Linked DNA regions of Sus scrofa. The protein of the gene in region 1 purifies or fractionates together with the protein of each later gene. This does not show direct contact. Links are inferred from orthologs where the notes say so. Each region holds a gene or a part of one and is shown in the gene's direction. Other genes may lie near its edges. The genes, in order: SLC30A1, CSGALNACT2 and XXYLT1.

Region 1 (4,192 bases):
GACAGAAATATACGGCTTCACGCAAGGTCTCCTGGGGATGGTGGTGATGCGGGTGCTTCGCTTTATTGAAACATTTACGAAGATTCCCTTCATCGCCTCGCAGGACCTCCTCGGACTAACTCAGCTGGGTGTTGAGCGGAGTCACAAGTTGCGTGCTGCCCTTGCTTTCGAGTCCGTCGGCCTAATCTCGGGGCTTTTTGACAGGAGGGCCCACCCGAGGGCCCCGCACACAGGGGCTCCCCCTTTCGGCCCTTCCCAGGCTGCCGCCTGTCACAGCGGCCGCGCGGCCCGCCCCACGTGGACCCGGCTCGGAGGATCAAAGTCTGTTTGCTGCCGGGCCCCGTAGGTGTGCTGGGAGCTGCGAGAACCCGCAGCGCCAGAGCAGGAGCCCCGCCACGCCGGGAGGACCCCGGCTGCCCCGCCCCGCCCCTCCCCCTCCTGCTGCACGCGGCCCGCGCCCCCCACCCTCCCCCACGACGCCAGGCGCTGCACCCGGCCGCGGCCCCCGGCCCACGCCCGGCTCCTGAAGGGAAAGGCCCCGCCCCTATCTGTTAGAGCCACGACACCGCCCCCTCCCGCCCCGCCGGGCTCCATCCAATAGTGAGCGCGGATAGGCGGGGCGCGGCGGCTGTCGTGAGGAGGTCCTGGCCAATGGGGAAGCATGCCGGGCCTGGTGGGCGGGGCGGCGAGGCCTTGTCACGCTCGGGTCCGTGTGAAAACGGGGGTTCCGAGTGCAAAGCAAAGTTTTTTTGTAAACCGTCTGCAAAGGCGGGGGGGCGAAGAAGGCGCCCGACACCGGGCCGAGTGCAGCTGCGGTTGCTGCCGCCTCTTCAGCTCTTCAGGCGTCGGCTCCTCGGTCCGAGCCACACCGGAGGGAGACCTGAGAGAGGGAGACCTGCGCGGAGAGCCGGCAGATGCTTGGAGTCTTCACAGCGCAGAGCTGCCCGTCGCCCGCCCGCTCCTGCTCCGGCTCTTGGTCCGCGGGCTCCGGGAGCCCCAGTTCCCCACCTCCGCCGCCCCGCCGTGGGTGTGGGGGCTGCTGGGGCTGAGCCGGGCCTCCGCGCCGGCTCCGAGGACAGACGCCTGAGGAGCTGCGCGCCACCGGCCCGCCGGGGACGCCCGCAGGCGCGGGGGCGCGGCGGCTTGACCCCGGGCTCGCCCCTGTCCGGCGGCGGAGGCCCCACCGCAGGCTCCCGAGCGGCCGGGCTCCGGCGGTGAGAGCCCGGCGGCGCCCTTCCTCCTCCGTGGCCGGGCCGCCGGCCCTCGGCGCCTCGCCGCCGCCGCCGCCGCCTCACGAGTGTCCGGGCCGCGCTCGGCGGGCCCCTAAGCCGCAGCCATGGGGTGCTGGGGTCGGAACCGGGGCCGGCTGCTCTGCATGCTGTTACTGACCTTCATGTTCATGGTCCTGGAGGTGGTGGTGAGCCGGGTGACCTCGTCGCTGGCGATGCTCTCGGACTCCTTCCACATGCTGTCGGACGTGCTGGCGCTGGTGGTGGCGCTGGTGGCCGAGCGCTTCGCCCGGCGGACCCACGCCACCCAGAAGAACACGTTCGGCTGGATCCGGGCCGAAGTGATGGGGGCTCTGGTGAACGCCATCTTCCTGACCGGCCTCTGCTTCGCCATCCTGCTGGAGGCCATCGAGCGCTTCATCGAGCCGCACGAGATGCAGCAGCCGCTGGTGGTCCTCGGGGTCGGCGTGGCGGGGCTGGTGGTCAACGTGCTGGGGCTCTGCCTCTTCCACCATCACAGCGGCTTCGGCAACGACTCCGGCCACGGCCACTCGCACGGGGGGCACGGCCACGGCCTCCCCAAGGGGGGCCGCGGCAAGAGCAGCCGCGCCGGCGGTAGCGACAGCAGCGCGGCCCCAGGGGAGCAGGGAACCGACCAGGAGGAGACCAACATCCTGGTGGCCAAGAGCAGCAACTCCAACGGGCTGAAATTGGACCGGACAGGTGAGGTGGTCGCCGCCGCAGGTGGTTGGCCCTGGGGAGCCCAGACCCCGGGTGGCCCCGGGCGGGGTGGCCCGCACGCCCCCTGGTGCCCAGCGGGCCGCGCCGCGCCGCACCGCCGCCTCGCCGCTCCTTCCCGGTCCCGCGCCCGCCCAGAAGGCGCGGAAACGCAGGTTTCCCCCTTTCAGCCTGGTGTCATGAGCCCGGGGACGCTTCGGGGGTTGGGGGGTGGGTGTAGACGAGGCATCGCGGCTGTGAGAGCAGACAAAGGTCAGGGGTGACCGTCAGCCCCCTGCTGCCCGCACCCCACACTTGGCTGTCTTCTCAGGCTGCCGTTTCAAGAGAGTGTCTGATTTGGGCGTTAGCAGGATCCAAACTGCTTCCTAATTCAATTTCTTGACCCTGTCGGCCCACGGAGAGAATCCCCCGCTGGTCCTTAGTTGTTGGCTGTTTGGGACCTTGCTCTGCCCAAGTAGTTCTGAGGCCCTTCCAACAAGTTTCTTGATGTATCCCGAGCCAGCTATCTAGCGATTGACTTGCCTGAGTTCAAAACCCTGGTTCAAGGTTCTTCTTAAGAACAGCCGTGTATGTTTCAGGTAATTTTCTAAAATCTAAACCAAACCCTGAAAATCTTAGACTTCGGACCTGTCTGGGCATGTTTAACATTTCACTTAGGAATTTCCATAATCATACGAAGATAAGCGATGGTAATTCAGCTTATATTTTTAATGGACAGTTTTCATTCTAAACAGTAAGTGCTTTTGAAGGAAATCTGGGAAATGGGCGTTGAAGGCGACAGAAAAAGGAATCTATCTAATACCTGACTACCCAAGCCCAGGGATGTTAACAACTTGTGTATTTCCTTCTAGATTTTTTCCATATATATTTATTCACCTAGTTTTATGCTACATAGACAGCTTTCCTTTATCCAAGATGCAGGATGTTATGTTAATGAAATTCAGGTTGTACTTTGAAGAGGTTTCGTAAACAACTGCATATCCTCTCACTCCCCCTCTAGTCTGCAAGGTGTCATTCCAAAGAAAATTAAGCTGCTCTGGTGTGTATAATTCTTTTAAAGGATCATTATGTTTGATTTAGGAAGTAGTAATGATAATGATAGTTCCAACTTTTCTTTAAGTCTCTGTGATTGTTGATAGGTTTATATTGTTGATGTGTTAGTTTCTAAACCCATTCCATTAAGAGACTCATTTATATAAATGACAAAAATGTAAAAGTTAACACCTTAATGACAAAAGATGGCTAAAGAACTGTGTCAAATTAGCCATTTGCATTAGACTTATCCATAGTTGCATTTAATTTGGGGTGATAGTGTCCAATTTAGTTTTCCTTTTGGTATATGCCAAAAAGCACACACACACACACACACACACATACAGAAAAGATGAACCTTTTTTTTGAAGTGGTAGTGTTGGACAGTGAGTGGCTAGGAGTGTTGGGGAAGCAATATCATCTTAATGACTTAATTTAGCCTGGCCATTCTGTCCTGGCTTGTTCCCAGTATGTCAATTTATATTAGATTCCTGAGCACATTTTTAAATTATGTTTTGTGAAAAATGTTCACTTCCATTTCTTAAATGGAATTAGGCAAGAATGTTTATATAAACATTTTAGATGTGTGTTTGATACGGAATCTTTATTTCTTTGTAGATCCAGAAAAGTCCAGAAGTGATGCAGTGGAAGTACAAGTGAATGGGAATCTTATCAGAGAACCGGACCAGGTGGAATTGGAAGATGATGATGATAAGGCTGGACAACTTAACATGCGTGGAGTTTTTCTGCATGTCTTTGGAGATGCTTTGGGTTCCGTGATTGTAGTAGTAAATGCCTTAGTCTTTTACTTTTCTTGGAAAGGTTGTCCTGAGGGGGAGATGTGTGTGAATCCATGTGTTCCTGACCCCTGCAAAGCATTTGTAGAGTTAATTAATAGTACTCATGCAACAGTTTATGAGGCTGGTCCTTGCTGGGTGCTATATTTAGATCCAACTCTTTGTATTGTAATGGTTTGTATACTTCTTTACACAACTTATCCATTACTTAAGGAGTCTGCTCTTATTCTTCTCCAAACTGTTCCCAAACAAATTGATATCAAAAATTTGATAAAGGAACTTCGAGATGTTGAAGGAGTTGAGGAAGTTCATGAATTACATGTTTGGCAACTTGCTGGAAGCAGAATCATTGCCACTGCTCACATAAAATGTGAAGACCCGACATCGTACATGCAG
Region 2 (3,598 bases), on another chromosome or scaffold:
CTGGCTTGCTCAGTGGGTTAAGGATCTGGTGAGCTGTGGTGAAGGTCACAGATGCAGCTTGGATCCTTTGTTGCTGCGGCTCTGGCATAGGCCAGCAGCTCCAGCTCCAGTTAGACTCCTAGCCTGGGAACCTCCATATGCTGCAGGTGCGGCCCTAAAAAAGTGGAAAAAAAAAAAAAAAAACTTTTGACTCTCAGGTGTAGAATTTAATATTGCTAGAAGTAATTTCTTTATTTTCATCATTTGATTTCTGTGTTGATAGGCTCCACTATTAAAAAGGTCATATGTTGAAAAGAAACATTGTCATTTGGAGCGTATTTTATAGAGTAAATAATATAACAGAGTGGGGAACATTTTTTAACCTCTCCTTTTATTTATTTTTGGAGGCCATGCCCAAGGCATGTGGAAGTTCCTAGGCCAGGGATCATACCTGAGCCATAGCAGTAACAACGCCAGATCCTTAACCCACTGAGTCACCAGGGAACTCCTAACCTCTCTTTTAAAGAAATAGTTGTTAATGACTGTACCAGGGGGATAAAATTCTCACAAATAGATAAAAACCCTGCAAGTCTGTTTTCATACTTTTGATCTTTGAGTAAAATCAGTAGTCATATTGAATTCGTAAACTTTGGCATGAAGACATCTTTATCCTAATTCTTTCTTTTAGGTTATTATCGCACGGAGAGAGATAAGGGCACACAGTATGAACTCTTTTTTAAGAAAGCAGACCTTATGGAATATAGACATGTGACCCTCTTCCGCCCTTTTGGACCTCTCATGAAAGTGAAGAGTGAGATGATTGACATTACTAGATCAATTATTAACATCATTGTGCCTCTCGCTGAAAGGACTGAAGCATTTGCACAGTTTATGCAGAACTTCAGGTAACTCTGAGGGCTTAGCAATTTGGCTAAGTGCTTCTACAAAGAAGCACATTTAATGCCATTTTATTTAATCTACCTTCATTGAGTATGATTATTTAGAGTTGTAGAATAATTTTATAGGCTTTGGAAATAATTTATAGGCTTTGGAAATAATTTATAGGAATAATTTTATAGGCTTTGGAATAATTTTATAGTCCCTTTTTTCTTAAAGCATGTATAGTATATTGTGACTGACAGTTTGAACTATGAAGTAAGTCGAGGGTGACACTATTAGAAACAAAATTTGATCACCTTTATCATTGTGTTTGAATTTGTTTTAGAACAGGTTGAATTTTGAAAAATAACTTTTTTGAGGCATAACTGACATACAGTAAATCCACATGTTCTAAGGATAGAGATTTCATGACTTTTGACAAGTGTATACACTCATGTAACTGCCTCTCCAATCAAGGTATAGAACATTGCTGTCGCCTCAGAAAATTCCCCTGAGAACCAATTGAATTTTAAAATTGAAGGAAATTTTAGAAATACAAATAAAAAAAGCATGCAAAAATGGGAGAACATTATTCCTTCTTGGGAAGCAGAGACTATAACAGTTTTTAAAAGAATTTTTTCTTTTTTTGGTTATTACATTTGGATATTTTAAAATTCTAAAATGTTAAGGAATTAACAACTACGTGTTAGGGTAAGTGGGGAAAGTCGAGCTTTTTCATTTTAATTTAACAGATGTCATGTTTTTAATATTCTAATATGTTAGTTTTAATGCTTTGTAACCCCAATCTTTGTTCTCACTGAAGTTATTGGGTATAAAAGCCTAAATCTGTCATATAATATCTGGAAGCTGCCAAATGAGTTTTGCCTTTTTGAAATTGCTCTCTTGAGATCTGATTTCCTAAGCATTTTTAATTGCCTTTCATGAAGTTCCTGTCATATGCTATGTTATTCTTTACAGTTTATAATCTCAATCATGGCGAATATTTATTCCTTAATGATCGGTATAATTTCTGGAAATAGCCAGTCTGAAGACAAAATAACTCTTGACCTCAAATTTGAATTATTTATTTATGTGGTTTTGAACTGATTAAACTTATTTCCTTGAATAGCTTATAATTTGTTTCTGAGGGCAATATCAAAGCAAAAGTTCCAAAAATGTTCTGAAATATGGCACCCTTTTGGGTTGCTTACATGGCCGTCTAAGCATTGCATTCATTTAGACATATATTATTATGTGTTTGCTGTGATGCCTTTAATAATTCAGCAATATTGCCAGTTTTATATTTATTTAAACCTTCATGTGATTTCATTCTAAATGAGTAATGCTTATTTTCTTGTTAAAGCTTCATGTGATTGCTTTCAGAATGAGTAGTGCCTTATGTATTTTTCCGAATGAGCTTTATTTTTTCAATTCTTTTAGGGATGTGTGTATTCATCAGGACAAGAGAATCCATCTCACAGTGGTGTATTTTGGTAAAGAAGGACTATCTAAAGTCAAGTCTATCCTGGAATCTGTCACAAGGTTGGTGAGCCATGTCCACATTAAAGTCCTTGATATGTAACACTAGAAGAATGAGAATTTCAGATACTTCATGAGTTAATAATTTTGAACATCTGCCATTTAAAAGTTGGTTGAGCATGTGAGTGGTGGTGGTAGTGAGTTCCTCATTTCACCCCTAAGTGCACTCATGCATCTCTAAAAGACTCGTCTTCTCCTAACCTCTTGGCAGACAGCATGGCATGACTAGGGTGCTCTCCCTCTGCAGCCCACTCACCTTCTGTATATTTGCCTCCATTTATTCTTTATTTCCTTCTGTTGACTCTTGCCCTTTTTCTCACTCTAATCCCTTCACTTTGATATCATCTCCTGAGCTTGTCTCTTACTTGCCACCTTTATTTTCTTTCCTTCCATTTTCCTAAGTTCCTTGTCACCCTGTAAATGATGCTTAGGTATCCCCTATCCTTAAGAGACCCCCACTTGACTCTACAGTACCCCATAGCTACTGTTGGGTTTCTGTCCTTCCACAGCTAAACCTCATAGAACAGTAATCCTCTAACCAAGCAACTCCTATAGTACCTGGCACATAGTAGGTGCTCAGAGGTTTGAATGAATGAATTAGTAATTCCTTAATACTCTATTATTAATTCTATAGCTTCTCATCCTTTTCATCTCTAAGTTATGAAACAAAGTTATAACCTAACTGCCAAATTCAGCCTTTACTCTGTCATCCTCTTTGACTGCTTTTTTACATTTGATAGCTCAGCAGTACTTCCGTCTTAAAACTCTCCTCTGATGTTTGTAAATGTAAATATTTTATAAATGTAGATATGCTAAAATGTAAGATATTAGGTTGTCTTTTCTGACCCCATCAACTCTGTATCCTTTACTTGCTTCTTTACCTTTCTGCTAGTTGTGGCCATTCCCTAAGAGTCCAGATTTGGCCGACCATTCTCGAATCGTTCAACTAACATTCACTGAGTCCTACCGACTATGTTCCAGGTACACCGCTTGGGAGTCTGACCGGGGTGGTTGGGATAGGACTGGGTGCAAAGGAGGAAACTGTAGTCCCTGCCCCAAAGGGACTGTCATAGTATTGGAGTGTGAGAAACAAACATTGTCTGGGCCTCCCCCTTCACTAGCTCCTCCTCCTGATGGCCCCCTTTCAGTCCTGACTAGGACCATCTCATGATCCCCTGGGCTTGATGTCTGAGAGCAAGTG
Region 3 (4,145 bases), on another chromosome or scaffold:
CCACTCTGCCCCGCAAGGTGAGTAGTATGTTGAGTTTGTTGCCAAGACTGCTTCGGAAGTCCAGTATTATTCAGATAAATGTTGCTCCAGTTGAAAAGAACAAGAGTTAAAAATGAGATGAATTGTGTTCTGGGAACCCAGTTGAGAAATAATGGGATGTTACAATAAATGGGCGGAGGGAATTTGTGTGTGCCTGTGTTTTCACCTGCACCTCTTTCAAGCATGCAGACCCTTGTGCATGTTTACTTATGTAGTTGGCAGTGTCCAACTATACTGTCAAAACTGCCACTGTGTGACCTTGGACGAGTGACCTCAGCTGTGCCTCAGTTAGGAATTTCCTGGAGTTCCTGTTGTGGTTCAGTGGGTTAAGGACTTGATGTTGTTTCTGTGAGGATGCAGGTTTGATCTCTGGTCTTGCTCAGTGGGTTAAGGATCCCACCTTCCTGCAAGCTGTGGTCACTGCTGTGCTGCTGTTTCCATCTCTGGCCCCAGAGCTTCCACATGCTACAGGTGTAGCCAAAAGGAAAAAGAATTTGCAAAATTACCTGTTACATATTAAGTCTTTTTTAAAATGTTTAAGTTTTTGTTTTGTGTTTTGTGTGTGTGTGTGTGTGTGTGTGTGTGTGTGTGTGTGTGTGTGTGTGTTTAAGGAGTATCACGATCTTTGGTATTACTCCCCTTCAGAGCTCTGGGCTCCTCTAAATTTTGGGCATTTGGGCCCCCCTGGTGGCCACACCTTTAAATTGCTTCCAGTGGGCCTCAGAGTTGCAAGTGAGGTGGGCAGGCGATTTACACCTTGGTTGTCATTCCACCTTCACTGAGAATGGGGAAGGAGTGGCCAGTGTAAATTCTTTAGCCCCAGCTAAACTCCAAGGTGTGAAAGGAGTCAGAGAGAGGACTTGAGGCCTTCAAGAAATTAGAGGAATAACGGTATAAGAGAAAAATGTTTTTTGCCCAATTTAGTCTTTTGAGTAGCCGAGGGCTTAGCTTTGGTTTCTAGCGTCTGGGGCTGGGCACTTAAGAGGGCCATTTTTCACAGACGGTATAGCCAGCTGGCCTCTCTGTCTTGGTCCTCACCAGATCCTCTGACCACCTGGGGGATGGGGGTCGGGGGTCGGGAGTGAATCCCGTGAACTCGCGGCACATCTCGGCTGTAATCCTTCCGAGCCTAGGACCCAGCGGCTGCAGGACAGCCCTGGCCCCGCCTCTCGAGCATCAGCGCTCGTGGATTGGCCCTCGGCAGCAAGGCTCCGCCCCCGCCATGGCTGCCGCCCGCCGACTGAGCTACTAAGTGGCTGCCGGGGTATTGGTCTCCGCTGCAGTTTCCCGGCTGCTCTGTGTCGGCGGGCTGGTGGCGCATGGGTCTCCTCCGAGGCGTGCCCCCATGCGCTCGGGCCATGGCACGCCTGGGCGCTGTGCGCTCCCACTATTGTGCGCTGCTCCTGGCCGCGGCGCTTGCGGTCTGTGCCTTTTACTACCTCGGCTCCGGCCGGGAGACCTTCTCCAGCGCCACCAAGAGGCTGAAGGAGGCCCGCGCCGGGGCCCCAGCCGTGCCCTCGCCGCCGGTGCTGGAGGTGGCGCGGGGCTCCGTGGCGCCAGCCCTGGGTGCTAAGGCCAAGAGCCTGGAGAGCGGCGGGGCTGGGCCGGTGGACTACCACCTGCTGATGATGTTCACCAAGGCGGAACACAATGCCGCGCTGCAGGCCAAGGCTCGCATCGCGCTCCGCTCCCTGCTGCGCCTTGCTAAGTTCGAGGCGAATGAGGTGCTTAACCTGCACTTCGTGAGCGAGGAGGCCAGCCGCGAGGTGGCCAAGGCCCTGCTGCGAGAGCTGCTGCCGCCCGCCGCCGGCTTCAAGTGCAAGGTGAGCAGGGGCCTCAGCTGGAGGCTCCGGGCGGGTGGCTCTGTCAGTGCGCGCGCCCCACCAGGCTCAGGGGGTCGGGAGGGAGGCGACTTCGCTGCGCTGCCTACTGTCAACGCCAACTCGCACCCTCTCCCCGAAGTGGACTGGAGGCATCGTCGGGGGCGTGTCCGGGTGGGTGCCTCGGCGTTAGCTGACTACCCTGACCTGGTATCCCCCTTTAACTGTGGCCCCCTTGAGAATCGGCACGCCCCTTCCTTACTAGCGTTGCAGGGTTCACTGGTGAGTGCCTTCCAGTCTGCCCCTCTTTTTAATCTCCTCCAGTCTTTGGCTTTTGAGGATGGAACAGGTCATTTGAAGCACCAGTATTCTTCTGCTGCAGAATCTGATAGACAGGGTCGTAGGCCTCTTGAATTCTTGAAGTTACAGTGGCATTTCTCATAGCTCCAAGGTATCTCAGTCGGAACTGGTCAAGCTCCAGTGTGAACCACCTCATCTCCTTTATGTGTCCCTTCTCCCCCACCCTCTAGGGTCATGAGCTCATTTAGAGAAGCAGAGGGTTCTTCCCAGGGAGGAAGAGAACGCTCCAGGAGGTACAGATAAGATCTGGGGAGAGCAGGGCAGAGCTAGTCATTGGACCAACCTGCCTCCTCATCCTCTGGCTTCACCACCTGGCTCTGCTCGGGGATTCCTAGCTTAGTGTCAATGGCCTCAGTTAAATTGCTTGCCTCCTTTTAACCTCATGGTTGCACAGAGGGGACTGATTTTGGAATAGGAATAGTAGGTGATCTTAAAAGATGGAGCCTGATGGTGGGGGGAGGGGTGGTGAGGGGAGCTGATGCCAGCATCCTGCAGGCCTCCAGGTCTCTTGTTTGTTGACTACAGAATCGATTTCTGGGTGGTGGGCCTGGCTCTCCACTCCAACCTACATTTTTGTCCTTCCTCTGCATGTACCTTAGATCTTAATTGTACTGAATGAGCCTTTATACAAGCTCTCTTCTCCACCCAGAATGTCCTTCCTTCTCTCCTGGGCCTTTGGCCACTCTTTGCTTTCAACTCCCCCAGGAATGTCCATAGACTTAGGGACAATCTGTGCCCAGCCCTTGACAGATCTCTATTCCAGCTTCCCCTGCCCAGAAGAAATGAGCCCTCCAGGAACACCCACCGTAGTCAGAGAGTCCATGATATAGAAATCCAGGTCCTGGAACTTGTGGCTGGAGGGGCCCCAGAGACCCACTGTCTCTGTTGGGGTTTTTCAGCCTGGGGCTCAGTTTCCCTAATTGCAGTCTCTGGGGGTGGCCCTTAGGATTCTAATGTTTGAGAGATTCTGTGCTAGTCCCAGGGAGCAAACCAAGGGCCCTTGATCATAGGGCCAGTCTGTGCAAAACTGGGATTTGACTGGCTCTCCAGACATCAGCTCGAAGACTGTCATTGTCATCGCTTCACTTTCTGAGTCAGAGTTTGTAACTCCCGCCTACTGTACCACATTGCCAGGGCTCTACTGTCTCCTTGAGCTCCAGCTACAGTGTCTTGTCACATACCCTCTGCTGTCCGGCCTACCTGCCCCTTCTTCCGTCGTTCCACTGGCAGGGTACCCTTACTCTCTGCATCACTGAGAGTTGCCCATCTTCAGATGCCAGCCCCCCCCTTGGAGCCTTCCAAAGAATCCCCATCTGAAAGACACGTCTGCCTCTTCCTTGCATACCTCCCTGTGCTGTGACTACAAGACGTCTTATCTCCCATCCCTATGCTGGCCATGCAGCAGAGGCACGGAGACTACTGGTCCAGGGCAGGTCCAGCCTCAGGACCAGGGTTCCCTTCTTGGAGTTTGTGTTTCATGCTCTGACTCCCTTCCTCTGCTGGGCCCAGTTCTGACAGCCACAGCCATTGCCCAAGGCCTGAGGCAGCTGCAGATGGCCACAGGGAATTGACACCACCCCTGCTGAGGCACCAGGAATGGGGCTATGTTCATATAAGGACTCATCACTTCTAGCTAAAATGACTCCTATTCCTTTTGGATTGTTTTTTTGTGAACCTATTCTCTGTTTGTGACAGAGGATGCTCTTTTTTCTTTAAATGTGTTGTCCTAAAAGATTCGCCTCATTTTATTTGTCATTGAATTCTTCCTTGGGTTTGGAATATTCCTGAAAGGAATGCTTCTCTTGGAACCACTTCACACCTACCTTTCCCTCTGCTTGGAGACTGCCTCCATCCCTGCTCCCCATCCTTGACTAGTACTCTGCTTTCAGGTCTCAGTGTAAATGTTATGTCCTTGGTCAACCTTTC

The links.
Region 2: the proteins of SLC30A1 (region 1) and CSGALNACT2 purify together in Homo sapiens (co-immunoprecipitation; 3 studies listed by BioGRID and IntAct, counting the BioPlex papers as one, with this or other methods). This does not show direct contact. The link is inferred for Sus scrofa from reciprocal best matches to the Homo sapiens genes SLC30A1 and CSGALNACT2.
Region 3: the proteins of SLC30A1 (region 1) and XXYLT1 purify together in Homo sapiens (co-immunoprecipitation; 3 studies listed by BioGRID and IntAct, with this or other methods). This does not show direct contact. The link is inferred for Sus scrofa from reciprocal best matches to the Homo sapiens genes SLC30A1 and XXYLT1.

The regions. Positions count from the first base shown.
Region 1 is NC_010451.4:131,632,263-131,636,454, forward strand, and holds the start of SLC30A1 (zinc transporter 1), read left to right. Parts: upstream 1-1,323; 5' UTR 1,324-1,336; coding exon 1,337-1,952; intron 1,953-3,617; coding exon 3,618-4,192. UniProt on the Homo sapiens protein: Zinc ion:proton antiporter that could function at the plasma membrane mediating zinc efflux from cells against its electrochemical gradient protecting them from intracellular zinc accumulation and toxicity.
Region 2 is NC_010456.5:61,392,701-61,396,298, forward strand, and holds part of CSGALNACT2 (chondroitin sulfate N-acetylgalactosaminyltransferase 2), read left to right. Parts: intron 1-667; coding exon 668-884; intron 885-2,298; coding exon 2,299-2,400; intron 2,401-3,289; coding exon of another isoform or gene 3,290-3,347; exon of another isoform or gene 3,348-3,378; intron 3,379-3,598. UniProt on the Homo sapiens protein: Transfers 1,4-N-acetylgalactosamine (GalNAc) from UDP-GalNAc to the non-reducing end of glucuronic acid (GlcUA). Required for addition of the first GalNAc to the core tetrasaccharide linker and for elongation of chondroitin chains.
Region 3 is NC_010455.5:132,267,090-132,271,234, reverse strand, and holds the start of XXYLT1 (xyloside xylosyltransferase 1), read left to right. Parts: upstream 1-1,248; 5' UTR 1,249-1,358; coding exon 1,359-1,862; intron 1,863-4,145. UniProt on the Homo sapiens protein: Alpha-1,3-xylosyltransferase, which elongates the O-linked xylose-glucose disaccharide attached to EGF-like repeats in the extracellular domain of target proteins by catalyzing the addition of the second xylose.